Drosophila melanogaster: one gene and its partner. The protein of the gene in region 2 interacts with the protein of the main gene of each other region in a pairwise test. Each region holds a gene or a part of one and is shown on either strand. Other genes may lie near its edges.

Evidence for each region. Proteins that work in one complex are often made in the same cells at the same time.
Region 1: the proteins of temp (region 2) and RabGGTb interact in a two-hybrid assay, tested with the Drosophila melanogaster proteins (2 studies listed by BioGRID).

Annotation. Positions count from the first base shown.
Region 1 is NT_033779.5:2,877,379-2,881,382, reverse strand, and holds RabGGTb (Rab geranylgeranyltransferase subunit beta), read right to left. Parts: upstream 2,272-4,004; 5' UTR 2,120-2,271; coding exon 1,504-2,119; intron 1,340-1,503; coding exon 912-1,339; 3' UTR 675-911; downstream 1-674. Other genes in the region: NTPase, read left to right, coding at 1-1, 63-155; Sbat (sabbat), read right to left, coding at 2,425-2,790; Prx6a (peroxiredoxin 6a), read left to right, coding at 3,246-3,519, 3,580-3,772, 3,994-4,004.
Region 2 is NC_004354.4:2,259,682-2,264,527, forward strand, and holds temp (tempura), read right to left. Parts: upstream 2,835-4,846; 5' UTR 2,356-2,834; coding exon 2,270-2,355; intron 2,174-2,269; coding exon 1,785-2,173; intron 1,735-1,784; coding exon 1,013-1,734; 3' UTR 526-1,012; downstream 1-525. Other genes in the region: CG3071 (uncharacterized protein), read left to right, coding at 3,215-3,307, 3,376-4,846.

The DNA of each region.
Region 1 (4,004 bases), on a different chromosome or scaffold from region 2:
GGTGAGTCCTGGCGCACTTAACACAAATTGAACTCTCTAGTAACTCGTTTTAAATTGTGCAGCTTTACAAGAAGATAGATGGCCACGAAATCTCCTGGGCCCTCGGCTGTGCATACAACGTTCTGACTAGCGACGAGAAATTCAGTAATTCCTAATGCTCCTCCATTAGTCCGTAGTTGAAGACATAAATTTTAAACGGATTGTTAGCTGAAATTGTTTATAGAGTGCCTTAGACGTGCATCGAGTATACTACAATCACAACACACCGCACACACCGCACACACCACACACACACAGAACACACACTCGGACATTGTCCACAGCATATGTATGATGTGGTCGATTAATATTTGTTTGTGCTCTGCAAGATTCGTTTCAATTGCCTCTAATTGAGCTAACCCATACACGGTGACTACACTTAGCGTTTAGTTTGTAATTCCAATTTTGTGTGATTCGCCATATTTGTAATGCAGTTTTTTGCCAACTTCTTAACTAATTAGTCCCTACACTCGTATCGTATCCTCATGTACATAAATTTACACAATGATATGTATTTACCTAATATGTATAACGACCTAGACTACTAGCCGCAAACATTTCACACGGTTTTTCACACATGCAAATGTTAGTTTAGTTATCTTTGCAAATAAATCAAATGTTAACTGATCTGAATTAAAGTAAAATATTTGTTTATTGCTGATTTTCGTTCGCTATACAAAATATTCTATATTTAATAATAATAGAGGGGTAAATGCATAACGAAGAAAATGAGTAAAGAAAGGGTGTTCCTGCTATGGAATTTTGGTCTTTTTACAAATAAAACTAAGAAACGCTAGCGTGGGAATACGTCAGAGGTCTGCTGCACTACACATTGGCTACGCACTGGCTGCATGTGGAATCGATGAATCCCCTCATGGCCTCGGCAATAGTTGCGGCTTGATGCCCAGCCGGTCGATGATGTACTGCGGCATGCAGAGCGTTGGGTTGATGGCCTTCAGGCCGGAATGTCCCAGTAGCGAGAGTCCGCCGATGCCGAACAGCGTGTGGAATATGTCCGGCATGTTGCCAGTTCTGTCCGAGAAGCCACCGGTCTCCGTGTCCTGGCACGACAGTATGAACTGCTGCAGCTTCTCCGAGCTGATCCAGTGCAGGCGGCCCATGATGGTGAGCGAGGCGAGCACCCACCACGAATAGCATACATCCGGCAGCTTCTCGGGCCGTCCATTTAGCCCACCGGAGGGCAGCTGCCGCTCGCAGAGCCACCAGCCCAGTTTGTCCACGTCGAGCAGATGCAGGCGATGGGTCAGCGAGAAGAAGCCGACGCAGCAGTAGATGAGCCCTGCGGGTTATATGTAGATTAGTTTTTGGATAACATATATGAGCACCAGCTTTATGGCTAGCTATTTTTCTAGTATACTTTTTGTTCCCAGAAGATTAATAAGTTTAAATTGAAATGATATTGACTGTGAGGGCGAAAGCATGACAGGCGATGTGGTGACTCACCCGCATGCGACTCGGCGCCCGGCTTGGAACCGAATCCACCGTCCGTCTGATTGCAGCACGAGAGCACGAACTTGACCGCCTTCTCCACGTCGATGGTCTGCTCCATGCGGCCGAGCAGCGTTAGGGAGGCCACCGCACAGAAGCTGAACCTGGTGTCCACCTCGCCCCACTTGTCGCCAAAGAAGCTGCCGTCGGGCTGCTGCAGTCCGACCACGAATCGGACCACCGCCTCGCGGTCGATCTCCTCGAGGGCGTCGTAGGTGCAGAGGATCTGGATGGCCGACAGGGTGTACAGCAGGTGGGGATCGTGGCCCTCGCAGGGTGCGAATCCGCCCGTGTTCGGACACTGACAACGCTTCACAAACTCGATGATGGACTTGCGCTCCAATCGCTCCAGCTGGCCCATAATGTCCAGGGCAGTGGTGCCCCAATAGATGCCCGACATGCGCAGAAACTCGGTCATGCAGTACTCGTAGTCGTCCTCCTGCTTCCCATGGTTCTCGATGTACTCCACATGCTTCCAGAACTGCAGCTTCTGGCCGCCGCCATCCGCATCACCACCACCGCCGCTGTCGCCACCGCCATTTGAGGGCTTTACGAAGGTCGTGAAGTCCATCGCTGATTGGGCTCAATTGAATGAGTATCGGGTGGCTGGCAGATCCTCTTCGGCGCGCTGTTTCGCTTGATTAACTCTATTAATTGGCAGGAATAGTGCTGCGAGCAAACAAATAACTCAGTGAATCCAATCGAGCACAGCTGATTCATCTGCGCGATGGTTGGCAACGCGGCAGTGGCTTATCAAACAGCTGATCGACGCAGGGGCGTAGTGTGGAGGGGTTTACTATAACCCCATCCAAAAATAAAAATTAAACGTACTTAAATTTCAAATAGCTAGTTTATTTTATTCAAAACACATGCACACTATTGCACCAGCAGGCTGGACTGCGGATCCGGCTCGTCGATGCTTAGGGAGACTATGTGCTGGCCGGGAACCATGACGTTGCCCAGCAGGCGCGGCTCCTGGCCCTCCACCAAGTACTCGGCGCACATGGACAGCACGATGTTGGCGTCGCGGTCCGTGCAGTTGAAGAATCCCACCAGCACGCGTCCGTCCGTAATCACGATCCGAAGAACTCGACCCAGCCACTTCTGGAGCTTCCTGCGTCCCGGCGTCAAACTGGCATCGTTCATCTGGTGCGGGGCGTTCGTTGTGATGCGGAAGGGCTCCGGTGGTGTGCATGCGGGCGGGGGCATCACCTGCTGGCCAGTGATGCTCAGTTCTGTCATGGTTATATCCTCTTTGCTCAATTTAAACAAATAAATGCAAGAAATTCTCAGCTTTTTTTGTGTTTACACTGCGCGTATGTGTGATATAGTGTGCGTGTGTATGAGTAATGGCCAGGGATGCAAGCACGTGTAAGTGGTTCGGTTCACTGGTTCACTTTTTGAGCTCATAAATTCGAAAATATACGAAACACTCGTTTGCTTGTGTCAAAGAAAATACTTTAGATTTAAAACACTTAAAGGAAATGATTGCAAAATGAATGCACACAATGAGCCTTCTTTTTAACATCTTCATACGAAAACTAGTTCTTTTTATATTTGCATCCCTGGTCGAGCTGAGCTTATAAAGGTAACGGGCACCCTAGCCCAGTCAGCTGATTTGCATTTTGCGGCAAATTTTGTTTCGCATTTATCCAAAAAGCTCGTAATTCGTCTCTTGATTTTTTCAAATATCCACCATGTCCGGAAAGGCTTTAAACATTGGCGATCAGTTCCCAAACTTCACGGCTGAGACCAGCGAGGGTCGAATCGATTTCTACGACTGGATGCAGGACAGCTGGGCCATTCTGTTCTCCCATCCGGCGGATTTTACGCCGGTTTGCACCACGGAATTGTCCCGGGTGGCGGCATTGATTCCGGAATTCCAAAAGCGTGGAGTCAAGCCAATTGCACTGTCCTGCGACACCGTGGAGTCGCACAAGGGTTGGATCGAGGACATCAAGAGCTTTGGCAGTGGGTTTGGTCACTGATTTCTGGACAGGAATCGCTTCTAATTGGCGTTTCTGTTCGCAGAGCTGAGCTCCTTTGACTATCCCATCATTGCGGACGACAAAAGGGAACTGGCGCTCAAGTTTAATATGCTGGACAAGGACGAGATCAATGCCGAGGGCATTCCCCTCACCTGTCGCGCCGTTTTCGTGGTGGACGACAAGAAGAAGCTTCGCCTGTCCATCCTGTATCCTGCCACCACTGGGCGCAACTTTGAGTGGGTATTCCAATATCTAGCATTCATCATTATCTATAAAGTAATGCTGTAATGCACTTTAGCAAACAATCGTGCACTTAATCGCATTAGCAGATAATTATTTAATGAAGTATTATTGCTGAAAACTAAGTACTAACCTTGCATATAATAATGGAAGTTAAATAGGAACGATTTCAAGGTCAATTAATCCGACAAATTACATTTAACTATATCCTTTGCAGTGAAATCCTTC
Region 2 (4,846 bases):
ACTAAAAAAAAAAATCGAATAATATACTTTGTTTATTACTTTTGATTTCTCGGTTGACTGGAATGCACTTTTTTTCGACGAGTCGGAAACAAATTGTTTGTAAGCCTTCAAAGAAGCCAGCACTTTCGCCACTCAACACTCCACAAAACACCGCCGCACGCGAACTGCTCCAGAAACACACTGAAAAGCTGGTAGGGATTACGGCCTGGCGATTCTGAGTCCGCTGCTGAAATTGTTGTCATCTCAGGCCTTCGGCAGCATCTCGCACATCCCACCTCGCATCCCAGGCATGCGCAATCGATACTCGTTACCCCACAATCCCCAGTTCACTCGGGGAAGGGATGGGATGTCATGGCTGTGGCTGCACCGCCACAAAACGATACCATCCCATATTACAACTGCTCTGCGCAAAAGAAACCCCCATACAATGCATTTTGAGTGCTCATTACGGCCATTACCGAATCGATATTCTCGAAATGAACGAGCCGAACTGGCTCGACGTTCAAAACTGCATAAAAAAGGCGTCGTCTATGATTTGGATTTATTTAAAAACTAACTGCAATTGGCTAACAACAAACACGTGCATGGCATGGCGATAATCGGTTAAGTTTTACTTCTGAACAAAGGGCTAACAAATCGTGCCCGGATCAGATTAAGAACAGAAACGAACAGGTAACGCTAATAGATATCGAAATGCAATTGGCGGACCAGTGAGATCCGTTGTCATATCGGGCTAGTTGAACTTTGTCTTTGGATCGCACATTTATAGTAGAGTAGAATAGAGGCATTTCCGTTTCCAAATCCGTTTTGAATCGTCTTCCTTTCTAGTATTTTACTCTTTAACAATTTGTCTTGCACAAGTTTCTGTATTTTTGGGACGATAATTAGATAGGAAATAAAACACACGTCTTTATACACTTGCCACATTTCAGAACGGATGGGCAAACGGAAAGGCCGGGAGTGAGTAATTCTATTGGGGTAGATTGATTTGAGCTTTATCAGGTCGCGCTGTCTAGTCCGCTGGATATCCAAAGCTGAGGTGAAGATTGCACCACCGCCGGTGCTTACCACCCAGGGTGGACTCCTCGCGCCGTACGGCACTTAAAAACGGATTATCTTCAAAGTCAAAGTTGCCCAAATGCGAACGCAGATCGCCTGACGCCACTGGTAACAGTTGGCCATTGGGCAAGCCCATTTGCAGGCGCACGCACTGCTCCACGATGAACTTGAGTGCCGCACGGCGATGCAGCTCGAAGCAATCCCGCGATCCGTACATCAAGCGCTGCTCGGCACACAGACGCATATCGTTGGCGGCAACGTTGCAGCAGTAAAGAAATGATATTAGCCTTTGCTTGCTCACGGAACTCAGATCCACATGTGGTAGCAAGAGACCCAGCAGATCCTCAGCGTTGGCTTCACATTCCAGGCCATAGCTTGTCATTAGATGCTGCAGACTGGCCAACGTAGACGAACCACTGGCTCCGGAATCCTTGGGAAGGGCAAAACTGAGCTCATATGCACGACTCAGGAGCACTTGGCGGTAGTGGTAGCAGCTGTAGTCACTGATGTGCTTCCGCATAAACTTCTCCGTGCGTAGCAGTTCCGATTGCAGCAGGCATGGGCCGTTCTGAAGGATCCACTGGCGGTGCGACCAGGCGTGATAGTTGCTGGCGCATCTATCGGCGGCCCTTTCGCATATCCCGATCTCATTGGGCCAGTCAATAGCATCGGCACCTGGAAATAATGGAATGAAATGGGATCCCCAGTTGCCGACGTCCACTTACTTTGAAATGAGTACAGCCAACGGCGGTAGGCGAATGCTTCATTGGACTTCGGTTTGATTGAGAGCACGAGTGCGGAGAACTGCAGCTCCTTGTTGATGCTCAGCCGATTCTTTTGCACCAGCTGACGGCGGATGTGCCAAAAGGTGGTCACATCGGGATTAATCAGCAGAGCCACGTTTAGGTATTTGGCCAGGGAGTCGCTCTGCTGCTGCTGCTGCAGCGTCCGCAGCTGTTGCGCCGTGGTTTGACGGCGATGGGAGATGAGGGTGCGGTGGGCGTGGTCGTAGACATGCTGGGCACACCACGATTCCAGGCCCAGATTGTGCTCCACATGCACAACCGGCGATTTGTTGCAGTTGGCTTCTTTGGGTATAATTTCAAAGGAGGCGCTGGTGGAGAAAAGAACAATATATTCGGACATCAAGGCTTGCTTTCATTGCTAACAGTCTGATTAGATCTATAGTAGAACTAAATGCTGGACTCACAGATCCTGATCCTTGAGGAACACCGCATTGATGTCCCTGATGATCTTCTCGCAGAGCACCTTTTTCTCGTTGCGTTCCTCCTCCATGGAATTTGAGTATAGTCCGAACGTGGAATTTCAATGGGGATGTGGTTTTTGCTTCCTCGGGGATCTCGCTTCCGTTCCGTTCGATTCGAGGGTCTCAGGCACATTGATTGCCTCCAATTAATATGAACATGCTCAATGTCTCCGGTTAATTAAGATTTGGAAAGGGGAGGAAGAGGAGAAGATGGCGGAGGCTGGAACCCTGTCTACGCGACTATGGAACCCCCAAAGGCGGCCGCATCACAACAAATAAATTTCAATTAAGCCGGGGCCTGGACACGAGATCTAGCCTTTATTATTATTATTATTTCAGTGCCCAGTGCGAGGGGCTGTCAATCTGGTTCACCCCAAAGCGCGGTTCTCCGGCGGATCGGTCCGCAAGCTCGGAAATGTGTTCCCTTTTTTTGGCGACGGTGAGCATATGTTTGTTTGCAAACATGTGTTTGGTGTGCACAACAACAGAGGAGGCACTTGCCACGATAACCTACTAACCGCGACGTCAGAACCAACTGTCGGGAAAATGGCTATTGAAAGCAGGCATTAGCTGGGACATTAGAATTTTTCAATTTTTTTTTCCTTTTTTCTACAGTCAGTATTATCAGTACATTTGCTACATTCATATATTTTTTCAGTATTAACGGAATTATTTCTTAAGTATATGCGTTTAATAAACAGTTGATAGCAGAATGATTAAGATATTTAAGAAAATTTATTGAATTCAATGAGCACCTCCGTATTTGTGTGCACGCGGATTTGGCTAAAAACCAAAATGTTTGCCACCACTGTTACATTCCGCTGGTCACACTCTTCCCATCTAACACGTGCGCGCCCGAAAGAGATTTAGTAGAAATACACAGACAGGATGCAGAACTCCTTTCTTCCACTGAACACACGGCGTTTTCGACAGCGGGCCCAGGTGGAAACGCCGGATACGGTGTACTGGGACCGACTGGCGGTGAGTTGTATAGGACTAGGCAGAGAGGCTCGGCAACCAAATCATTGTTTCCCCTCTGCATTCCACAGAAACCAGAACTACTCAAGGAGCACAACACCATCGATTATTTGGACTTCAGTCCAAGCGATCCTGACAACTTTGTTGTGACCTGTTCGGTGCGCGTTCAGATTTACAACCTGGTGACCATGCTTGTGGTAAAGAACCTTTCCCGATTCCAAAAGACCGCATACGGCGCCACCTTCCGGCAGGATGGTCGACTCCTGGCCGCCGGCGACGAGGAGGGCCATGTCAAGCTATTCGACACCACCAGTCGCAACATCTTGCGTTTGTTCAAGGGACACACGGCACCAGTACACCGCACCTTCTTTACGGCGGACAAGCTGCAGCTAGCCAGTTTTGGAGACGACAAGTCGGTCCGTCTGTGGGACGTGGCAAACGAGAAGGTGGTGCAAACGTACGAGGACACGCACACCGACTACGTTCGTGCAGGCGCCATGCATCCGCAGGCAGGGCATATGTTCGTCTCCGGCGGCTACGATGGCAAGATCAAACTGTACGATACGAGAGCGGAAACGGCGGTGCAGCGCACCTTAGATCACGGAGCTCCGGTGGAGTCCATGTTGTTCCTTCCGAACGGCTCTATTTTCGTCAGCGCCGGCGGCAGCCAGGTGCGCGTATGGGATCTCATCAGCGGCTGCCGTCTGCTCACCATGATGTCGCAGCATCACAAAACAGTAACTTGTCTGCGACTGGGATCCGATGGCAGGAGATTGCTCTCAGGCGGGCTCGATAGGCACGTGAAAATCTACGATGTGAGCACCTACAAAACAGTGCACACATTGACTTATCCCAATGCGGTGGTCAGCATGGCTGTTGCTGACGGAGATCAAGCAGTTGTGGCTGGAATGGTCGATGGTCTAGTCTCCATTCGTCGCATGATGGTAGACAGCAAGCCCAGTCATTTGAAAAAGATTCGTGCGGATCGCGCTCGAAAGTACTTCGTGAGTACGAAACGCACGAACAACACCCAAGAGGTTGATCACACCATCAAGGACCACGTCAAGGGGCCTGGATTGAAATCCTACGATGTGCACTTGCGCCAGTTTAACCACAAGAAGGCTTTGGACGACGTGATGAATGCGCAGAAGATGCAATACCAGCCGGAGCTCATTGTGGCTGTCATCACGGACCTTCTGCACCGTGGATCACTGGGAAAAGCCCTCACGGGTCGTCATGAGGCAGCGCTTGTCCGATTCATCGACTTCATTTGCAACCACTTGGGCGAGGTGCGATTCATGCGCCCGCTGATGATGGCCGCGAGCACGGTCCTTGATGTCTTCGAGCAACGATTGGTGGCCTACAGCCAGAAGCTGATGAAAGCCTTGCAACGATTGTCACTTGCAATGCAGGAGGAGGTGAGGCTCACCGCCGAGCTGATGCGGATGAAGGGTGCTGTGGATATGCTCATTGGGATTTCAATGGACAATAGCGAGGTAGCCCATAAGCCCACCTATGTGGAGACAAAGACACCTAAGATGC